3 linked regions of the Canis lupus familiaris genome follow. The protein of the gene in region 3 interacts with the protein of the main gene of each other region in a pairwise test. Links are inferred from orthologs where the notes say so. Each region holds a gene or a part of one and is shown on either strand. Other genes may lie near its edges. The genes, in order: ZMYND10, NRBP1 and TSC22D4.

Region 1 (7,199 bases), on a different chromosome or scaffold from region 3:
CCGCGGGGCGGGCCGCGAGGCGGCGCCGCCCCCGGGATCTAGGCTGGGCGGCGAGAGAACCAGGGCGAGCGGCGCAGTGCAAACCCGGGTGCCCGGGCTGTGTCGGCCCGCAGGCGGAGTAGGGGCGGGGGGCGATCTCGCAGAGTCCCGGCGCTCCCTTTCCTTTTCTTCCTGCATCCGGGTGCACCCCACCCCCGCCCCCCGTCCCAAGACGACGACCACCAAGAAGGGCCACTCGGAGACAGGCTGTTTCTAGAGACTAGCTTTACTGTGCTAGAGGCACAGGGTCCCCACATCCGGCCCTTGTCTTGCCTCGCCCAGGCCTCCCGCTCCAGCTGCTGAGGCAGCACCCTCAGCCTACCCGCAGGGTAGGGCAGGAAGCGAGCAGCCTTTACTGGGGAAGATGGGTCAGCAGCTTGCTGGGCTCGCTGTGCTCACTACCTCGCGGCGCTCGCTCTGCTCACCACCTGGGAGGCTGGAGCCCTGGCTGAGGTTTCGAGAGGTTCAAGGGCACACTGGGGGTGGGTTGTAGGGCATGGGTGCTTGGCCCTCAGCAGCTGCAGCTTTCACTTGGCTCTGTTACCTTGGGCTGCCAGGACACAAGCCTTTCCATGCTTCTTCCAATGCTTGACTTGGCACTCCCTGCAGGCAGGTGGGCTGGTAAGCATGCAGTGCTTGTGCGGGGTATAGAAGTGGGGCTTAGGGGTCCAAGTTCCTAGGATACCCTCACCTGCAGCAATACCATTCATTCTGGCACCGTGAGCACCGTTTGGAGGCATCTGCACTGCAGTAGGCACAGCGGGGCCGCTCTGGGGTTACTGCCTCTAGGACGTCCAGGCTGTAGGTCTCAGCCCATCTAAGAAAGAGGTCAGGAAAGGCTGGCTGTGCCTGGCCAGTGGGGGCACAAGAGCACCTCTGCCTGTGTCCATGCCTTCTGCATCCCTCCTATCCCTTCTGCCCACTCAGTGGGCCTCACCTTCGTGCCTGTAGTCGCAGGTCCTGCTCTGAAGGGCTGAATATGTGCCTCAGCTGGTGCTTGGCAATAGCCTGCCACTTGCCTCTGTTCTCTCTTTCTAGCCGCTCCCAGATTTCTGGGATCTGAGAGAGAAAAGTGGAAAGTGTCAGGGAGGAGCTGGCAAGGTGGGCAGTAGTCCTGAGCAGCTGACTTCCTGGTACCTACCTGTTCCAACACCAAGTCCTTCTTTGGGGGCTGGGTTTCCGTCAGGGCCAGGTGGGCCAGGAAACCCTGCAGGTCTGCCAGGTTGGGCAGCTGGTCGAGCAGTGTGTCTGTGAGGAAGGCCCGAAGCTGCAAGGGAGTCCAGGGAAGGCCAGTGTGAAGTGGTGCTGACCAGGGAGGGCCTGGGCTGGGGTGCCTGTGGGGACCACGTCCCACTAGCTGCTGCGACACCTGAGCTTCAGGGTCTGGAAAGAGGACTGGGGCTGAGGCAGGTGGGCAGTGATAAGCAGCAGGGGTGGGGCAGGGCAGGGTGGGATGGGGTGGCACTGGTGCAGGAGGAGCTCCCCCACCTTGAGTAGCTGTCCCTTGGCAAAGCTGGTGACGCAGTAGCGGGTCCGGGCTTCGGGGCTTAGCAGCAGGTTGTATAGGGCGATCCACACCTGCCCATCCAACTTGCTCAATTTTGGGTGCTCTGTGGGGGCCACTGTCTGCCAACGGCCACCCTCAAATTGCTGCATCTTGCCTGGAGAGAGGAGCCAGAACACTAGGAGCAGGTGTTACACACTCTGAGTCAGCCAACTGAATGGGCTGGGGTCCTGAGTGCTGCCCGGGTGCACGACTCACCAAGGCTGGTGTCTGCTTGCTCCAGAGCGGGGTGAGTCTTTAGCAGTGGACACACAGGCCTTACCTGCTGCAAAGCCCAGGTCTAAGCTAGTTTGTGTGAGGCATTCTGGGCTCCTCTATGAGCTAGCGGGCAGTTTGTGAGCAAGCTGCCTGTCCCCATCAATCCTGGGGTATGTCTGGGAAGCCATGAGCTGGGGCTTAGGCAAGGGGGTGGGGAAGACCTTACCACCTTCCTGTCGGCTCCAGGGACTGTGTTCCAGCAGTTCCACCAGGAGGCAGGGCAAGTTGTGGGTACTGAGCATGCAGTTCAAGGTGCTCAAGGAAAGGCTAGGGGTGGTGGTGGAGAGAAGTGAGCGGCGGCTACAGGCCCAGGATCCCAGTCCTCCACTGCAGGTCTTGGGCCTTGCAGGACTGCCCACCTGTCCACACAGTCTGTGATGTAGCGCAGCACTGAGAGGGCCTTCAATGCGATCTCAAACTCCATCAGCTCTGCTTGCTTCTGCAGCTCCTGGGTGGCAGGGGCACATGGTGCTCTAGCTGGGCCACCCCCTGCCTGCTCAGGCCTTGAGAGAGCGTGTTATACCCACTGGCACCTCCAGGGACCCTCAGCCTACCTGAATGGGGGTGCTCTCCTGAGACTCCTCCTCGGGAGGGCTGCCACGGCCACTTCGGGCCACCAACATAGTCAGTTTTCGGTGGCAGTAGTCTACCAGGTCCAAGACAGCGTCCTCTGCTGACTCACACACCTCCTGAGGGACAGGCAGAGGGGAACATTCTGTCTCTGATGCTCTCCCCACACAGACACAACCCCTCTTCCCAGTCAGGCCTTAGCCTGTGGCAACAGCTTGTGGACAGGGCTGATGCCTCACTTTATGGAAGAACACTGTCTCCAGAAGGTTGATGATAGAGGCCTCGTGGTGTACCTGTCAGATAAAGAGAACAGAGCGTGGAGCCACTGAAGGAAGAATCAGATTACCAGCTCTCTTGTCAAATCCAGAGCCCTCTAAAGGCATGAGCAGGGTGTGACCAGGGGCCCAGCTTACCACCATGTATATGGGAAAAGTGTTCTGGGGCTTGAAGTCCTCCAGCTTGCACAGCACAGGGAACACCTTCTGCTTCCACATCTCCACTGCAATCAGCTCCTCCACCAGTGTTGGGATCTTTGAGGGGGAGAGGAAAGGACAGAGATGAAGTAGGCCTACCTTGGCCTTGCCACCCTCCCATCCCTGGCTTGGTCCTGCCTGACTCCTCAAACTCCCCTAGGCTCCTAGATTCTCTCCATAGGTACCTTCCCAAGCTCTCTCCTGCACCTTAGACCTTCATTTCTAGCTGCTCTCAATAACTTTGTGGGGACATTCCCCATGCTTCCTATAACTGGCTCTTGCTTTGTCCCTGGGCTGCCTTGGCCCCCTACACCTCCCCACCCCAACTACACCCTTGTCCCCTCTGTCCTCATCCAGGTGTTCCTCTCAGGCTGGCTCTCCTGTTCATGCCCTCCTTGTCCCTGTCCTCCTGCCTTCCAAGGTTCTCATGTGCCTTGACCTCACCCTTACTCAGGGCCCTGCACAATTTCCTAGTCCTCTCCCACCCTCCAGTAGGGGGCTCCACCTTTTCTTTGCAGAGGAACCCTTTTGTCAAGTGATATCTCAGGTCATTTATTTGAGTCACCTCCTGGCTCATTTTCCAGGTAGGCTCATCCCTGGTTTCTAATTCTTCTCTCAAGTTATGAAGGCTGCCTTCTTCCATGCCAAAGTTCCACCTCCACTTCAGTGAGGGCCCCCTCTGGCCTGACAGTCTATTCAAGGATGTCTTTAGAACGTAGGCTCTCCCCCTACAGCCTGGGCTGCTGTATGATCTACGACTATCTCTCAAATCAACCAACGTCTCACACTTGGCCTAGTGTGCCAGTGTCCTGTCCAAAAGGGATGCAAAATCAAATCTGTAACACACTCCTCTCTTTTCTCTTGGGGAAGACAAGAGTACCATCTAGAGGGAAGTGAAGGCATCCGAGGTGCTCCTGAGAGGTAGAGTGGTGGGGTGAGAGGTGGTAGGAAGGGCAGGAACCCTGCCCGTGACCCCAGCATACCTTCCCATGGGTGACCAGCAGCTCCTGGATGGGCTCACCCTGGCTGGCTGTAGCATCAAGGATAGCCTGCATGTTCAGCTTCTCCAGGTTCTCATGCTGCTGGTTCCACCTGCCCCAGAGAGAGGGGGTGGATGTGTTTTGGGGTGCTACTGAAGCCTAACCTGGGTTTGGGTACTATTGAATTTGGGTATTACTGAACCTAATCAGCCTAACCTGATCCTGAGGGGCCAGAGGGGGCTCAGAGATCTTTGTCTCCTCACTTGGGGATTCCTCCACACTGGGTACCCTCTCCCCCGTGTCAGGCCCATACTCCTCCATTCAAGGACTCTGACTCTGTGACACCGCCCGACCCTTGGATCCAGCTGCCTCACCCTCCGGAGCCCATCTCGCGCAGCGGGAAGCTGCGCAGCCCCCGCACCAGCACGTCAGCCTCCCCCGGCAGCAGCAGCTCCAGGTCGCCCATGTTGTGGCCAGGGCCAGGGAGCCAGAAGGCGGGATTCAGTTGACCCCGGACAGCAGCCGGCGCTGGGGCAGGGGAGCCGAAAGTCTCCGGCTGGGTCCAGGCTGTGGACGCAGCTGTTGCGGAGCGGTTGGGGCGCGTGGGTCCTCGCCGTCATGGAAACGGTTAGCTCGGCGCCTGCGCAGTGCGGCCCGCGCAGGCTCCGGCCCCGCCCCCGGCCCCGGCCGCCTCGCCTTCCCCGCGGCGGGTAAGGAAGCCCCTTGGATCCCAAACTTCTCCCTCACCTCCGACTGCGGCTCGAGGGTCTGCCCTGAGCGACAGACTCCTGTGGCCTAAGCTCCCTCCTCCGACGTCAAGACCAGCTCAGGGACAGGGTCATGCTGCCCCCACCAGCTCTTCCTGTCGCGGCTCCAACTCCGCCGCGCGGATGCCCCTCTCCGTGGCTTTCTCGCTCCACTACGTCTGGCGCCGGGCTCCGCCTGCTGGCTCTACCCCCCCAGGTACTGCGTAGGGGCCACGTCTTTCCATCCCAGTCTAACAGGCTGCCACCACCTCTCGTGAGGAACTAACTGCTGTAATCTTTTTCTGGGTGACTGTATGGCTGCCTCCAGTTCTTGAAATAGTATGTCCAAACCAGCTTACCAGCATCTCTGCAGTATCACTTTTGCCCCTTCGGTACTTCATTTCTTGCCCCTCTCCCCATTGCCTCTTATGTTCCAGCCTTGTGGGCCTCTCTGGAGTTCCTCATACATCCTAAAGCTGTTTTTGCTTTGGGGCTTTTGCACCTGTTACCCCAACCTGGAATACTCTTCCTCCATCAAGCCTCAGTTCAAGTCACCTCAGGGAGGCCTTCCTTGCTTATTTAATCCAGAACAGCTTCAGCTCCCACCCCACCCCATTCTTGATCACAGCTACCTGATTGTTCCTTTCTGGCTGTTTATTTCAGTTCCTAATTAGTGGACACATTTGTCCATAGTTAGTCCTGCCACCAGATGGCGCAGCAGTGGGCCAGGACCACCGCTATTTCACTGCCAGTTCTCAGGTGGCTGGTTCAGAGGCGATACTCAATAAAGGTAGGTTGAAACAGATGCTTTTATTTACAGAACTGAGGGTCACCCCTGAGACAATACGGACTAGTCTACGGGTCTAGCCCTCATGCACCAGACAGCGCTTTGCAGGACGAAAGCAGCCACAGTCGTGTGCCTAGTTTAGCCCCCACCAGCCTCACTTCCAGCAGATGATGATATTGGGGTCATTTTCCAGCCGTTCATCAAGCTCGTGGTAGCTCATGCCTGTTTGGGACAGTGCAGGTGAGATGAGCAGTCTTGCCTTGGCCACCTGCCCTGACCCCACCCCAGCTGCAATGTCTGCCTCCACCTGTCTTGCAACAGATCTCATCATAGCTGTGGCAGCCTGTGTAAAGCCGGGCAGGGTGGCTCCGCTCCTCCCGAGACACCCGCACGGGATACTTCTGTAGTCGGCGGATGAGGTTCTTCATAAGCCCAAACTGGATCAGCTTTCTGGGGTGGGGTTGAGGGAGAGAAGAGTGATGCCCTGGCTGGGCCTTCCTCCAGCCAAGCCAACCCTTTTCTGCAGTCTCCCCTCAGATTTTGTCTCAATGACCAGACTGCCTTCCAAACCCAAAGCCTGGGGTTTTGGAAAGCCTGCCTAGACTAGTAGTGCCACATGATTCTGCTCACTGGGAATCTCCTGCTTCCTCTCTAACCCAAGGCTCCAGAGACATACAGAGTGTATATGCTTTTAGGTAAACCCCTCATGACCCTGGGAATCCCCTTCTGACCGTTCATCAACACGCTGCAGCTGCTGGGGGTGGCGGCCAATGAGGTCTCTCACAGTAGTGCCAGGGCTCAAGCTGCAATACAGCTGGAACACATCCCGAAGGCTGGCCCTCTTGTGCCCTATGGGTACCAGGGGTCAGCTCTGTAGGTGGCTCTGCCCGCCCCCCGCCCCGCCATGGCCTCCCCCAGAGCCCACTACTACCTTGTTTGGTCACATAGGATAAACATGCCTCTTGCAGGGACTTGTCATCTACCAGGTCCTGGACCTTCGGTGTTGGGCAGTACACATTGGAATACTGGAGGGTAGCAGGAGGCACAGGGGCCTGAGTGAGGGGCTTGGAAATCTGACATAGCCCTAGTCTGGCCAAGCCACATGATTCATTCTCCCCTTAACCAAAGCCTAGACTCACCTACCTGGAGGATGGACACCAGTGTCACAACTCCATAATACCTGGGGGAGATAGTGTGCTCAGCTTCTGAGGGTCATGCCTTCCCACCCCACACACTCAGTGTCCTGGGGCTCTTCCCTGGCTAGCAGCTCTGTCCTGAGTGTGGCTGTTGCCCTACTCACAACAAGTTCTGGATGGCGATGCGCACCAGGTTTAGCTCCACATCTGCCTCAGCTGAGATCTTCTGGACATGGCGGAAACCATCAATGTAGGGCAGGATCTGGGCAGGGCAGGATCAGTAGAGGTGGGATGAGGCCAGAGCTGTGGCCACCCCTAGGTGATGATACCCAGGGAGGGACAGCTCACCTGTTGTGTGGTGAGGTCCCATTGTGAGTTGAAGAAATCTTCCTTGTCCTTGGTAAAGACAGGCACATCATACTCCTGCGCCACAGGAGGGTCAGGCCGCTGCTCAATCACCTTCAAGTGGATGGTGTTGGATTCATCTGTAGGGGCCCCACCCATATCTTCAGTGTCATCTCTTTCAAGAGGCCCTCAATTACCCTTCAGTCCTCCCAGCAACCCTTGAAGCAGATGGGTGGCCCTGGGTAGGGCCGATCTCCCCCACCCCCCACTTCTTAAGTAAGCTCTGCGTCCAACGTGGGGC
Region 2 (7,294 bases), on a different chromosome or scaffold from region 3:
ATAATCTTTTTAAAACACCCAAACTAGCCTAAAGCTTTGTCTGCTCTCCCTTCATACCTTTTCATTCATAGTCTTGTGATTCTTTTTGGTCTTCTTCAGAAATTGCTTAAGACTCCCAGATGACATGTATTCTGTGATAAAAATAACCTGGAGAGGCAAAACACTCAAATAAAACCTTAGAGTAGGAATGATTCCCTATCTGTTGACACATATACCAGATATATATTAGATCTGAAACCTGGTGGTGGTGATTATTTTAAGTTTCCCTCCTTTTGTTGTTAGCAACACTTCCTTAGATTTAACAGGACAAAACCAAACAAACAAACAAACAGAAAAAAAAAAAAAAAAGAAAGAAAAAACCCTACTGAACAATAAGAGCTATGGAAAGGAAACAAAAGTTTGCTCATTTCTGCCCCGTCCATAACCAAACAAAAGGCATCATAGATCATAGTAGGCAAAGCCCTACTCTCACCTCCACAATAGCTGATTCCAGTTTTGTTTCAAAACTATCTATTTTCATCTCTGAATGTAAAAAGAACAATAAATGTAGCTAGTCTCTTTGCAGTAAGTTCAAGAAAAAGTTCTTACCCTGGCCTTGTTCTCTTTAATGTCAGCCCAATACTTATGAAACTTAACAATGTTGAGATGTTCCAACTGAATCAGATTATCAAACACAGCACGGACTTTTTCCTGAGGGCAGGAGAGAGAGTGGGATAACAAGGTTCAGAAATTACTGTAATCCTGAAAAGCCATTCCCTATCCCTCCCCAGAAATAATCTAACCCCAACATCCTCTCCTCCTAATCAGCTTCTCAACACCAATTTCTCTTTAACGCCTGCATTCTAATACCCTACGGGCTACATTCTTTCACCATTACCTACCTCCTGCAGCTTGTAGTTCTTGCGCTCAGAGAACTGGACCTCATTCCACACAACCTCTACACCCTCCTCTGTATCCATGGCCAGGTATGCACTGTCAATACCTGGTACATTCCGTTGATTCACCTGAGAAGAAATCCAAATGGAAAGGAATTACTAAAGTTATCGTATAAACCATTTTAATACTCCAAATGATCATCCTCTCCTAGGCTCTGATCTGTTAAAGTTTGGTGTGACCCTTTGAGACTTTCCCTTTCCACTCCCCCCAGAGTGACACTACCATCACTTTACCTCCTCCCGCCTCTTCTGCCAGCGTCCACATGGTGACTCTTCCAAGATCTCAGACTCATCTTCACTTTCTTCTTCTTCCTCTGGGGAAGCAGCTGAGGTGGTGGAGGTCACAGGAGGTGACACTGATGTCAGGCCAGGAGCTGAGGATGAGGATTCTACCTTTGGGTCTGAGCCACTGCTGACTACTGTCTGGGACTCCCCCTCCGACATGCTGGAACGAACACTCAGGCCTGTATTGGTTGGGGCAAGGATGAAGGAAGAAGGCAGAAAGGGTCAGGATAGATCTATAAAGATTTAATCCTGGGGCACTTGGGTGGCTCAGTTAAGCATCCAACTCTTGATCTCAGCTCAGGTCTTGATCTCAGGGTCATGAGTTCAAGCCCCATGTTGGGCTCCATGCTTAATCCTAATAACCTCATCTGGGGTTAAAAAACAAAACAAAACATCGGTCTCCCTTGTTTCCTTTAAGTCCAAAATCAAATTAATTCTGTCTGAACATTGAAACATTAACTACTTCTTAGTCTAGAGAAGTGAAGCTATCGTGGTTGAAGATGACCCATGAGGAGTGGCAAACCTAAGATTTATGACAATATAACTCCCATTTTTCAGGTTCAAATGAACAGCCAAATCAGGGACAGACACCATTCCTTCTCAGCAATACTCACCCAACAATCTTCCTTTAAAACTTCACCTGCCTTTATGTGTTCAAGAACTAAGCTACATGGCCCTATTCAGATGACTCTAGACCCCAAAATCTTTCACTGATTCAGCCCTAAGTCTGGACCTGTAGCACTCTCAGCCAATTTATCCAGATGAAACCCTCAAGCTAATTTATTCCACTAGAATTCTGGCATTTGCTATCCATCCCTCCTACACATAGATCAAGTCTACTAGTCCATGCTGAGGATACCCTTGGGCCAGGTAACTGGCAGTGGTTAGTGACTTCATCCCTGATGCCCTCACCTCCCCTGTGATGTGAGTGTGCAAATGGGTATTGGTTAGCAACATTTTTTTTTCATTCACTCATTCAACAAATATTTATTAAGCACTTACTGTAGGCCAAGCACTGGGCTAGGTACCAGAGATAAAATAGTGAATAAAATAAATGAGATGCCCACATTTATGGAACCACAAATTTAAACAAATCTAGAACTTTCAGCTTCCAGCTTTCATTTCATCCAAACAGCTCAAAGGCTCCACCCTCGGGGATACCAGATCTGACAGAGATATTCCCTCATAAACAAATAACTCAAGGAGTGCCGGGTTGGCTCAGTCTGTTAAGCATCTTCCTTCAGCTCAGGACATGATCTTGGGATTGAGCCCCGAGTCTGGCTCCCACTTCCCCTGCTCAAGCTCACTCTCTCTCAAATAAATGAGTAAAATCTTTAAAACAAAAAAATTTTTAAAAAGAACAAATAACTCAAAATACAGCAGTTACAAGAAAAAATACTATATAGTACAATATTTTTTTAAGGCACATGGCTATTTGGAAGAAAAAGAATTCTCACAAGCTAAATGTCGCTAACTTATCCAGACAGTTGCAGGACAACCACTGAATGTTATTCCATCTCTCTAAGAACAAAGGCTATGACGGAGCTGAAACCTGTGTGTGCTGGGCTCAAAGGAGTGCTCCATATGAAAGTGACATTCTGGAAAGTAGACTTCCTCCTCTAAATTCAGAATACAGAAGCCTCTGATCAACAACAATCTTTCAAAAAGCTCTTATTTTAGAACTCCTGGATACTCCCTTCTGCCAATCTCCACCCCCAATTTACACTATGTTTAACCCAAATCAGATTCTTATTAAGATGACATTCTAGTAAATACCAGATAACCATAAAGCACTACAGAGAAAATCTGGCAAGATATTCTTTGCCTGTTATTATCTAGGTCCTGCCTATCATAGACTTTATTCAACCAGACAAGAAAGCTGTCTTAGTAATGTACCAGAACACCAGTTAGAGATCACTTTCCTTTTTCTTCCCCCCTGAAAAGCAACTAAGAAAATGGTAAGAAAGTTCATAGGGATTACTTTCTAGAGCAGCTATATTTATAGAATGCATCTTGAATCTGAACAGCTCAGTAAAAATTCCAGCTAGATGACAATAGGAAATACCACTGGAGCTCCAATACAGGAAGCCTGTAGCCAATGGATTCTAAGGAAACCTCTTGACCCAGGTCACAGACAATCCACAGTAAAGCACCACAAAAGAAGCCAAACCTTTACCAGTCACAGCCGTGTCCTTGTTTTCTCCCTCCCCAATCTTTCCCCAGCAGGCAAAACCAAGGCACTGCCCAAGATGCCCTAGCACTTCCCCTCCCGATGAAGAAACCTTTGCAACGCTGGGGTTTTCTTCTCAGGGTCGTTCAGAGGTTTAAGAGATCACATACGGAAAAGGCCATTCACGCCCCTACAAGGGAATCTCCTCGCCGCTTCCAGCCACCCCGAGAATACTGTGTTCACTTCTGAGCAGTGTAGGTAGATCGTCGCGCAAAGTTTTTCTCGGAGACTTTCATTTACTGGACTGCAGCCCCTCTGCATTTCAACTCCTCAGCAACAGCTCGCAGGCCACAGGCCTCTGGGCTGCCCTCACCCCGAGCCGACCACAGGGCCTCCGGGACCCACAGGGTTGTGTGGTCAGACGTCAAAGCAAGCGCAGGGAACGGCCTCACGCTCCAACAGGTCCCCTGCCCGCCGTCTGCTTGCGAGCGCCGCGGGTCCCGCAGGCCCGGGAGCCAGCCGCCGCCACCTCATCAAAGGCCAGCCCCGCGGCGCCGTCAGGGGCGCAGGCCACGCCCCCGCGCTGTCGGCGCGCCGGCCTCCGCCAGCAGGCGCGGCCCCGACGCTGCGCTTCCGCAGGCCGCGGGGCCCGCCACCGCCGCCCCCGCCCCCGCGGCCGGCCCCGCCTCTCGTCAGCCCCAGTTCGACACGAACGCCAGGGCCTCGCGCCCCGCGCCCCGCGCCGGCAGAATTCCGGGTGGCCGCCACTCAGGGCAGGCCGGGAGGGCCCGGCCGAGACTGTGGGGCCGGGGCGGCCCCTGGGCTCCGGCGGGCCGGGCCTCGGGCCGCCGAGCGAGCAGAGCAGCCTCCAGACACCCGCCTGCCGGGGTCCCGGCGCGTCGGGCCGCGGAAGCCGACCCTTCTGTCCGGTCGCCGAACCCGTCCCTCCCGCTCCCTCCCCTCGGCGCTCACCTCCCGACTCCGCTCCCCGCAGCCTGCGCTTCAGCTCCAGCTCGGGTTCGGGGCCGCGGACCAGAGAGACTCCCTCACAGCTGCGCTCCGCAGCGCAACCGAACTGCGGGCCCCGCCCTCGCGGCGTCCCGACCAACAGATGGGCGGTGCCGCACTGCCGTTGGGTTGCCATTGGATGGGGCGGCCAAGGTGGGCGGTGCCCCGGGAAGACGGCCGCTCGCTGCCATAGTCTCCAAGCCGGTCTCCTCCCCTTGAGCCTGTCCGGTTGAGACCTCTCGGAGGCATCGGTGTGTTGGGTCTCGGCTGGGGTTGGTCTCACTGTCCACCCCTCCGTCCAGTCCAGGTGCCCCCGATGAGTCCGCCGGGCGAAAGGAAGGCCTTCCGTCTCCTCTTGAAGGCGCCATGACAGTTCTGTTCCGACTAAAAGACAAAAGGAGCGAAAGACGTAGCCTCACACCGGGAGGAGCGCCCACCCACTTTCATTATTTGTAAGGGGCGAGACTGCGCAGGACACCAGTTCTTCAGCTTAAAATTTTTCCTGAACGTATCCTGAAAATTGCATAGCACCGACCTTTGCCAAAACTTTGCAGGAGGTTTTCACAGATGACTCGTTTGATCCGTATAAGAAATTGAAAGGCTAACTGACACATGCAAAAAACGAAATCAGAGGCATTAAGGCTATTCACCAAAAGTTGATAGGAGCCAAATCTAGCATCCAAACAGTAAGATTTATCAAAGGCTTCCTTGAAAAGATGTTTGGAAAGAATTTGGATTGACTTCAAGGAAGTGAAAGGGAAAGATCCGGGGTGAGCCCATTGGTCTGCGAAAACTAAACGCTGAGCCTGAGCGGTAGAAATTCGCTCTGCCATTAGACGTGTATTTTGAAGGGAGGAGGATGAATCGGTTTTCAGAACTTGGCAATGCGATAATCACTAAATTTCACTGTCCTTAAAGGGTATCTCTTAATCCTCTTAACTAATGTAAAGAAGAATATATGGCAAAAGCCCTCTCGTTTTCTTATCTCTTCATCTCAAAATACTTTTGCAACCAATCTTTCATCCTTGATTCTTTTACGTTTCAGAGGGCTCACACATTCTTTTAGAAATCTGATGAAAGTTATGGATCTTGTTTTGGATATTTAGGAAATGAATTTGTCCCCTAAATTTAGCATATAATTTCAAAAGACTGAAGTTAAAAATCTTTTTGTTCTAATCTTCAAAGGAAGGTTGTTTCTCCCTTTCTCCAGGTTAACCCTTTCTCCTTGTGGGCTCCAAGGCAATTGGGGCACCTGCTCCCCTATAAACATTCATTAAATATCAGTTAATATTATTATAGTTTCCCATTCTCTTCTGTTTGGACCTTATCATTATTAACCTTTCCTTTTTAACTAACTCCTTCTTTCAAATATGCATAGAGGACCCATTGGCGTCCTCCAGCTCTCATTTTATTTCTAACTTTTCATGTTTAAACAGCTCAAACACTGCATTTTCGCCACCTCATTTTATTCTGCTTTAATAAAATTTATTGTAAACAATATTTCAAAAATATTTATGTAATATCTTCTATGTGCTATGGTCCACTGTTTCAATTGCCTTATGACATATTAACTCATTTAATCCTTACAGGAATCCTATGGAATATTGTGAATTAACAATTGCTATAGAATGTGAAAATCTCTTGTAATCCTATTTCAACAGAAGAATTAAGATTTTGATGTATGTATCCATTTTTCTGTGCATGTATTAATATATGTGCATATAATTTAAAATGAAAGCAAGCTGATAATACATAATCTTTTTCAAATTACTCCTTGTTTTTCTTTTTTTTTTAAGATTTTATTTATTCATGAGAGACACAGGCAGAGGGAGAAGCAGGTGCCATGCAGGAAGCAGGAAGCCCGATGCGGGACTCCAGGATCACGCCCTGGGCTGAGGGCAGGCGCTAAACCACTGAGCCACCCACGGATCCCCTCATATAGCACTATTTTAATCTTTTAGCCACTGTGAAGTATTCCATTGTCCAGCGTTTACTTACTAACTACCAGGGGGCATCAGGGTTATTTCCAACATTTATTATTATAAGTAAAGCTGAAGTAAAGTCTTGCACATATCTTTGCCTGCTTGTGAAAATTATTTTTATATGGTTATATAAGTAGAATTGCTAAGTCAGGAGCTAAGAACATTTTAACTTGAATGGATATTGCCAAGTTACTCTTCAAAAAGATATCAGGGATCCCTGGGTGGCACAGTGGTTTTGCGCCTGCCTTTGGCCCAGGGCGCGATCCTGGAGACCCGGGATCGAATCCCACATCAGGCTCCCGGTGCATGGAGCCTGCTTCTCCCTCTGCCTGTGTCTCTGCCTCTCTCTCTCTCTGTGACTATCATAAATAAATAAAAATTAAAAAAAAAAGATATCAAATAACAATATCAAGAGTATGTAAAGGGGACACCTGGCCGGCTCAGTGGTTGAGCATCTGCCTTGGACTCAGGGCATGGTCTGGGGGCCCCTGGACCAAGTCCCACATCGGGCTCCCCTCAGGGAGTCTGCTTCTCCCTCTGCCTATGTTTCTGCTTCTCTCTGTTCTCTCAAGAGTAAATAAAACTTAAAAAAAAAAAAAAAGTATGTTAGGGTTTAGAGGCACTTGAGTGGCTTAATCAGTTAAGCATCCAACTCTTGGGATCCCTGGGTGGTACAGCGGTTTAGCGCCTGCCTTTGGCCCCGGGCGCCATCCTGGAGGCCGGGGATCGAGTCCCACGTCGGGCTCCCTGCATGGAGCTTGCTTCTCCCTCTGCCTGTGTCTCTGCCTCTCTCTCTCTCTCTCTCTGTGACTATCATAAAAAATTAAAAAGAAAATAAAAAGCATCCAACTCTTGATTTCAACTCAGGACATGATCTCAGGGTCGTGGGATTGAGCTCCGTATCAGGATCCTTG
Region 3 (7,316 bases):
TCCGGGCCGAGGGGCTCGGAGAGTCGTGAGCCCGACCATCCGCGTTTCTGCCCAGCAGGGGGCGTGCTCCCTTGGCTGCGCCCCTCTTCCTGCCGCCCTGCAGGTGCTGGGAGGGCATTGCAGCTGGCTCTCCTGCTGCCGGTCGCCTGTGCCTGGAGCTTCCCGGGCGCCCGGACCTCTTTCCACCGCCTGGGCTCAAAGGCTCCCGCCAGTCCGCCCGAGCGGCTCAAGTCATCCTCCCAGTAACCTCTGACCCCATGGCGCCTCCCGCCAGGTCCTGGGTGCCCCCGGCGGTCGGCCTCGGACCGGCCACAGCGGCAACCGCCCCGGTGCGGTCGAGGCGGCCGCTCAGGGTCGCGACCTCGCGCCCCCTCCTCAACGCCGCATCACCTTTCTCTTTAGCCCTGAGAAATCCTCCCTCGGAAATCCCTTTGCCACACATTAGCTGCAAGAAGACCTGGGTTCTACGCTTAAGTAGCTGAAAAATGGACCCCCAAAAGATAGCCACCTCTAATCCCCGGAACCTGTGCCCGTTACTTTATATGGCAAATCGTTGCAGGTGTGCTGTGTGGCTTTGGGCAAATCACACCACCTCTCTGAGAGATGCCTCGTATCTACCTCCATAACGTTGTTGAGGGCGCAAAAGAATTAATACGGGGAGCTTTGTAAGCCGTAAAATACATTAAAGGGCGATTATTGCTCCCAGGAGATGGAACACAAAATACAAAACAGTCCTTTCACATTTGCACCTTAGTGTGAATGAATTTTTATTTATTCATTCAATAAACATTTCTACAGAGACCAGCAATGTCCCAGGCAGGCAGACACGGAGGAGTCCAACTTGATGCTCAGAGTTGGTGGGAAGGGGAGGGTCCAAAGATAAATTTTGAATAGTTTGTAGCGTGTCAGCGCCGAAAGGAGGATCTGGGGGCGGAGCAGCCTGGCGGTGTTCTGAATATTGCCAGAGGGGAACGAGTTGGGGGTGGTGGTGGGGGACTTGTGTGGGAGGCTGCCTCCTCGACCTCAGGACTTGGGAGGCCTTAGGACCCAGCTGTGTTACTGTGAAGGGAGAGAGGCAAGGAGTGCAGATGCATTTTAACAAAGAAATGCAGAATAAATATATAAACATCCAGGCAGGAGGCATCATTTTGTTTTTCCCTAACCCTGAAGAATGGTTAAAAATTTCCATGAGCGAAAGCTGAAGAGGGAGGGATGTGTCAGCCCAGTCCTAGTCTCAATGCCATCAAATACTAGCTCTGGGGCCTCGGGCAAATAACTGACTACCTGGGAGCCTCTGTTTCCTCCCGCGGAAACGCTGAAGCTCAAAACCTACCCCATCTCTGCCCCCGACTGTTTATAGTCCATGAAATAACTATATAAAGCAGGCAAATATGAGAAATTTTCAATATGCTCAAGAATACTTCCATCTGACCAAAATTAATTAGAATCCAATTCCTTCCAAAGCTAGGAGTGAAGGCAGATGTGGCTTTTCAACCCTGCTCTTGCTCAGATTGTTGGTTGAGGGTGCCATAAAAGAGAAAGTGGCCATCAGAGGGTTATTTTTTCATTCCAGGCATTGGGTAATTCGGTAAGGCCTTCGTGTGTGTGTGTGTGTGTGTGTGTGTGTGTGGCTTCTCCAATAGCAAAGAAGGGATGGGATGGGAGAGGTGGGCGGGTAGGGCTTGTCCTCAGGTGCATCTGTGTGTACATTATGTATACATGTGTGTGTGACCAGGGTTGGAGAGAAAGTGCAAGTCAGCACATTTCTGAGTACATCTCTTTGTTTCTTTATATAGGGGCCAGACAAGGGCACACCTGAGTGTGTAGAATGTTCCAGCTGTACCACTGACAGCCTCTCGGAACCTTCCGGGTCTCAATATCCACATCTAAGAAGAGGGATAATATGGTGCCTGGGATTTTTAAAAATACTCCAGCACAGCACAACAAGAGGTATTGGGAGTATAGAAGAACCCAGGTTGGTTGTGAGCTGATCATTGTTGAAACTGCACGATGGGGACTTGGGAGTTTATCATTTTTCTCTACTTGGGGGCCCATTTGCAAATTGTCATCATAATCCACGTTTTAAAATAAAGACAGGAAAGAATAACGGAACCTTCCTCATAGAGTTACTGTGAACACCAGTGAAGATATGGCAAGAGCTGAGCAGCAGCTTATGGGGTGGCGGGCACCCAGCAGAGCCCCTGGTTGGCAAGTTCTTGCTCTCTCCGTAGGCCAATGGCAGCAAGTGCCTACAAGTAAGGGAATCCCTGGCCCCCCGGCAAACTCCTCCCCTTTTCTCTCTGCCCTCCACGGCCCCTCCCTCCGAGGAAACGCAGGATTGGGGCCCAGCAGGTGTGGGGTTAAGCCTGTTGCGGGGGGGGCGGGGGGGGGGGGCAGGAACAGCAGCAGCAGTGGCAGCAGAGGTGGTGGCAGGCCTGGCCCCGGGCCAGCTGGCCGGGAGCCCCAGGAGGCAGAGAGGGCGGAGGAAGGGGAGGAAGAGGGGAAGGAGGAGGAGGAGAGGAGCAGTCAGCAGGCCCGAGGAGGCAGGACTTCCTGGTGTGGGGGTTGTCAACAGCCCAGAAAGAGAAAGGCAGAGAGACCGGAGAGAAGAGCCGAGGAGCGGAGAGAGACCCAGCGGTTCCACGCGGAGGAGATTTGAGAGACCTGCTCGCCCCAGCCACCTAGGCGGCTCCACCTGGAGGATCGGGGTGGGGGCAGAGCCGCCTCTTCCCTCACCAGTCCCGGGACCCTTGGGGCTTCGGAGGCCGCGCCTGGGCTCCACCAAGGAGGCGGGGGTCCCTTCTTTTCTGGCGAGCAAACTTTTTACGAAGATGCCTTGCGGGGCGAAGTGCGGCCCCCGAAGAGAAGCGGACAGCCCCTGATCGCCGCCGCGCCCCCCGCGGGAAGGACAGCCCGACATCGTAGGCTCCGGGACCCCCGGCCCAGCTCGGTGGCCGAGGCCGAGAGGTAGGGCTCTGGGCTGGCTGGGCGGGGCGCTGGGGCAGCGGGGCAGGGCCTGCCCGGGATCGGGGAGCTGGGGTGCGGGCAGCCTGGACACTCGGCAGAGGCCTCCCGGCGGCGGGGCCGACCGAGGAGCTGCTTCACCCCTGCTCGTCCAAGGCCCTGGAGCCCCCTCCTGCTGTCGGGCGACTCGGTCCTGTGAGTCTGAATCCCAGGCAAGAAATGCCCAACTTTGGTCTGGGCCGCCCCTTCCTACTCTGTGGGACCGCTGGGATCTCCTGGTCTCAATCGTCTCTGCCAGTCTCTTTGTCTCTGGGTCTCTGGTGGTTTCCCCTTCCTCCCCCATCCTGCTCCCCAGAGAGGAAGCCCCAGAGGTGGCCTGCCCACTGCTTTCTCACACACACACACACACACACACACTCTCTCTCTCTCTCTCTCTCTTTCCAGTTTGCAAACTCAGCTCTGGAGTTGGGCAGCGCCAGGGGCAGGAAAAACCTGCCCCTGCCCCTGCCCCCACCTCCTGCCACCTCCCCTGCCCTGTGCTCCCTTTACCAGCCAAGTACCCCCAGTTCCTGCAAAGCCCTCCTGCCATGTCGGACCCAGATGTCCCCAGGGGCCCTGATGCCCCCGCCATGTGGCCCCCCTGTTCCAGGGGTGCCTGAGCCCCTGGAGGAGCCCCAGCTGCACCCCCTGCCCACCTTGGCCGAGTCCTGAGCCCCAGGGACCATGAGTGGGGGCAAGAAGAAGAGTAGTTTTCAAATCACCAGCGTCACCACGGACTATGAGGGCCCAGGGAGCCCAGGGTCTTCAGAGCCCCCTGCCCTGCCGGGCCCCACCGCGCCCCCACCCCGTCTGCCTAACGGGGAGCCCAGCCCCGAGCCAGGGGGCAAAAGCACCCCCCGGAACGGCTCCCCACCACCTGGGGCCCCCGCCTCCCGTTTCCGGGTGGTAAAGCTGCCCCATGGCCTGGGAGAGCCTTATCGTCGAGGCCGTTGGACGTGTGTGGATGTTTACGAGAGAGACCTGGAGACCCCTGGCTTCAGCCGGCTCCTGGAAGGAGTTCGAGGGGCCTCGGGGGGCACTGGGGGCCGATCTTTGGATTCCAGGTTGGAGCTGGCCAGCTTGGGCCTGGGTGCCCCAACCCCGCAGCCAGGCCTGTCTCAGGGCCCCACCTCCTGGCTCCGGCCGCCCCCTACCTCCCCTGGACCTCAGGCCCGCTCCTTAACCCGGGGGCTGGGCCAGCTGGCAGTACCTGGTAAAGCCAAGGTGGAGACACCCCCTCTGTCAGCCTCCCCACCCCAGCAGCGTCCCCCAGAGCCCAGGACAGGGGATAGCGCCGGCCCCTCCCGGGCTGCCACGCCCCTGCCCTCCCTGAGGGTGGAAGTGGAGGCTGGGGGCTCAGCAACAGGGACCCCTCCACTATCCCGATCAAAGGATGGAGCCCTGCGGCTGAGGATGGAGTTGGTTGCTCCAGAGGAGATGGGGCAGGTAAGAGCTGGGTTCTGGGGTCAGGGAGACACCTGAGGGGTGGTGCTTGTTCATCTGGGCCTGGGCCTAACCTCCAGCTTGGGCCTCCCTGCCTCCACCTCCTTACCACCCTCTCCCCATTCCAACAACACGTGTCTGTCCCTCTTTTCTCTTCTTGCCCTCTTCCTGGGAAGTAGTCCATCCTCCTCTTCATGCAGCCTTGTTTTCTTTCTCAGGCTCCCTCTTCCCCTATATCCTGCACCTTCTTTCTTTCTCTAAGCCTTTGTTACCTTTGGCCTCCATCTCTGTTTCCTTATAGCTTAGTGCTGTCTCGCCATCACAGAGATGTCGGCTTCACACTTTGGCCCTCACCTTCTGTCTTGGTTTCACCCCTTCTGGCTTCAGGCATGGGGGATGGAGGTCCCAGATGGGGGTAGGTGCTTGGGCCTCTGGGAGAGGAGCTGTCCAGGTTGGTGGGGAGGGGTAAAAAGAAAGTCTCCCTGGCCGCACCACGCACCATTCCAAAGGTGACGGTCTGTCTTCTTATTAGCCACTCATCCCAGCCCCATCTGCAGCTTTGTCCCAAGTCAAATTTCTCCAAGGACGTGATGAACTAGGTGGGATGGAGGGCTTGGCGGTGTGTCCTTTCTGCCCTCAGGCCCCTGTCTCCGCTCCCCTGCATCTAGGCCTCTCCATGATTGATAACTGGGGGTGGCCACCAGGGAGTGGGAGAGAGGCAGGAAGCAGTGGAGAAAGAGTTAAATCCTCTGGTCTTTCTGCTTCCTGTCTCCAAAAGAGGAACAAGTCTGGGCTGGGGGGCAGGATGCCTGGGTCCCTGGGGTGAGGGTGGGCCGCCAGGGATGTGGGGGATGGATGTGTCTGTCCTGAAGGAGAAAATAACACCTTGGACTTCAGGAGCGAGGGCAGGGAGTGTGAGGATGAGAACTTTTCCCCCTTCCTGGCCTTGGGCACAAACCACAGTATAAAAATAACCTGGGACTGGATGTCTGGGCCCTGTCAGGACCGGTCAGGACCGGCTACCCCCACCCCCTCCTGGCCTCAAACTCACATATCTCATGCTGCGCCCCCTACTTTTCTGGAGCTTTCATTAAATTCCTACCCCAGGGGAGAAGATGCTCTTTCCTTTTCTAGTCCCTGTTCTCTTGCTCTTCCAGAGCAAGCCCCCTTTGCTCCAGTCTCTCTGTGTCCTTAAGCCCTGTCTGAGCTTCCCTTGGGCCTGCAGACCCTGCCCCTCTGTCCTCAGTGCCCTCAGAACCCTTTCCTTTCCCCCACATCCCGATCCCTCCCTGTGTGCATGCATCTGTGCTGCTTTTTCCTGGCCCCGAAGTCTGGCTCCGTTCCACACTCCCCCATGCCTCTTCCCTCTCAAGAGTGAGGCTGAGAGGAAGGCTGGGGGGACACCACCTGGGCCCCCTTCCTCTGCTCCGGCCCTCTAACCGCTCTGGACTCTCTGTTCTTGGCTTTTCCGAGAAGCAGGGGCCTCCTGGGGCCTCACAGAGGCGGCTTGTTCCTGTGGCCCCCGCCCTTTTGCAGCCACCCCCAGTGCCTGTTGGGCTGTGTGGGTCTGTGCCCGGGCTCCGCCTCCCCCCATCTCCGCAATCCAACCACCCTCCCTGCCCCAGGGCCCAGCGCAGGAGCAGAACTTCACCTGAATCTGAGAAGTTTGAGAGAAGAGGCTAGAATGGATAGAGTGGGGTGGGAGGAGGACCGGCTTCTGAGGATTCATTCATTCTACAAATAGCTATTGAACAAACTATAAGCTCTGCCCTCTGGAGCTTACCTTCTAACAGCAGGGAGGCAAAAATACTTTAATTTCAGATACTATTCAGTGCTCTAAAAATAAAATAGAACAGTTCAGTGGAATTCACTAGTCGAATGATGGGGAAATGCCTCTCTGAGGAAGTGATATTCAAGTGGCTTTTAAAAAGTCAGGTGACAGAAGGCAGACACTTTCTGCCTAGCCTCTGATTGGGGGTCCTGGTTCAGCTGGTAGAAGAGTGCTAGAGTACAGACCAGAGCCCCTTTCTGGTACTCTGATACACCACGAACCACTTTCTGGAAGCTGCTCACCCAGTCCTCAGGATGGACATTGTTTCCTTTACTCTGATACCTGCCTAGTTGCCTCCACTAGACCCAGGGAAGAAAGGGCCCTGGGGGCAGGACCCCTGGGTCCTCGAAGAGAGCAGAGATACATGGGGAGAGATGAGGAGGCTGACTACTAGGCAGGTTGCAAGGTGGCTGGTTCTTTTCTTGCACTGGATGTGATGGTTCCTACCTCTCTGCCTCCAGGTGCCCCCACTCGACTCTCGCCCTGGCTCCCCAGCCCTCTACTTGTTCCCCGATGCCAGTCTGGTTCACAAGTCTCCAGACCCCTTTGGAGCAGCAGCAGCCCAGAGCCTAAGCCTGGCCCGCTCCATGCTGGCCATCAGTGGCCACCTGGACAGCGATGATGATAGGTAGGTGGGCTCTGGGTCCCCCCCGCCCAGCACCTGGGATGGCCGCCTGAAAGTGCCTGGTAGGTGTCCTTCCCCTAAGTTAAGCTTGGGAGAGGGCCTCTTCAACAGAAAAACCTGGTGTTGGCACAACCACTGGGCAAAGTTGATTTGGGACCCACTCCCTCTCTGTGGAGAGGGCTGGGTGGGACTCCCTGGCTTAGGATTGTCAAATCATAGACTTTTTTTTTTTTTTTTTTTAAGACTTTGAAGGGAGTCATTGTTGTCAAATTCCAGAGCTCTTGCAGATTTAGCGATCATTTGGCCAACCCGAAGAATTTACTGGCAAATGCTCTGGAGAGAATAGAGAGTGGGTCTCCTCTCGTTCCTACCTCCCTCTCCCTGCAGAGGGCAATGGCACTCCTGCCTTTGTGT

What was found.
Region 1: the proteins of TSC22D4 (region 3) and ZMYND10 interact in binary tests that used the Homo sapiens proteins (3 or more experiments, as listed by UniProt). The two-hybrid records come from large-scale screens. The link is inferred for Canis lupus familiaris from reciprocal best matches to the Homo sapiens genes TSC22D4 and ZMYND10.
Region 2: the proteins of TSC22D4 (region 3) and NRBP1 interact in binary tests that used the Homo sapiens proteins (3 or more experiments, as listed by UniProt). The link is inferred for Canis lupus familiaris from reciprocal best matches to the Homo sapiens genes TSC22D4 and NRBP1.

The regions. Positions count from the first base shown.
Region 1 is NC_049241.1:39,415,018-39,422,216, reverse strand, and holds ZMYND10 (zinc finger MYND domain-containing protein 10), read right to left. Parts: upstream 4,494-7,199; 5' UTR 4,351-4,493; coding exon 4,259-4,350; intron 3,997-4,258; coding exon 3,888-3,996; intron 2,962-3,887; coding exon 2,845-2,961; intron 2,725-2,844; coding exon 2,671-2,724; intron 2,551-2,670; coding exon 2,416-2,550; intron 2,310-2,415; coding exon 2,221-2,309; intron 2,129-2,220; coding exon 2,028-2,128; intron 1,701-2,027; coding exon 1,528-1,700; intron 1,307-1,527; coding exon 1,181-1,306; intron 1,099-1,180; coding exon 977-1,098; intron 857-976; coding exon 731-856; intron 643-730; coding exon 567-642; 3' UTR 248-566; downstream 1-247. Other genes in the region: GATOR complex protein NPRL2, read right to left, coding at 5,572-5,639, 5,725-5,867, 6,149-6,266, 6,349-6,442, 6,561-6,597, 6,718-6,815, 6,902-7,038. UniProt on the Homo sapiens protein: Plays a role in axonemal structure organization and motility. Involved in axonemal pre-assembly of inner and outer dynein arms (IDA and ODA, respectively) for proper axoneme building for cilia motility.
Region 2 is NC_049238.1:21,439,603-21,446,896, reverse strand, and holds the start of NRBP1 (nuclear receptor-binding protein), read right to left. Parts: upstream 4,768-7,294; 5' UTR 4,535-4,767; coding exon 4,363-4,534; exon of another isoform or gene 4,261-4,362; intron 3,900-4,260; exon of another isoform or gene 3,764-3,899; intron 3,738-3,763; exon of another isoform or gene 3,712-3,737; coding exon of another isoform or gene 3,561-3,711; exon of another isoform or gene 3,503-3,560; intron 1,400-3,502; coding exon 1,170-1,399; intron 1,005-1,169; coding exon 882-1,004; intron 691-881; coding exon 589-690; intron 148-588; coding exon 58-147; intron 1-57. UniProt on the Homo sapiens protein: Required for embryonic development. Plays a role in intestinal epithelial cell fate and proliferation, thereby involved in the architectural development of the intestine potentially via the regulation of Wnt-responsive genes.
Region 3 is NC_049227.1:9,140,215-9,147,530, forward strand, and holds the start of TSC22D4 (TSC22 domain family protein 4), read left to right. Parts: upstream 1-2,606; 5' UTR 2,607-2,967; intron 2,968-3,408; 5' UTR 3,409-3,687; coding exon 3,688-4,449; intron 4,450-6,738; coding exon 6,739-6,905; intron 6,906-7,316.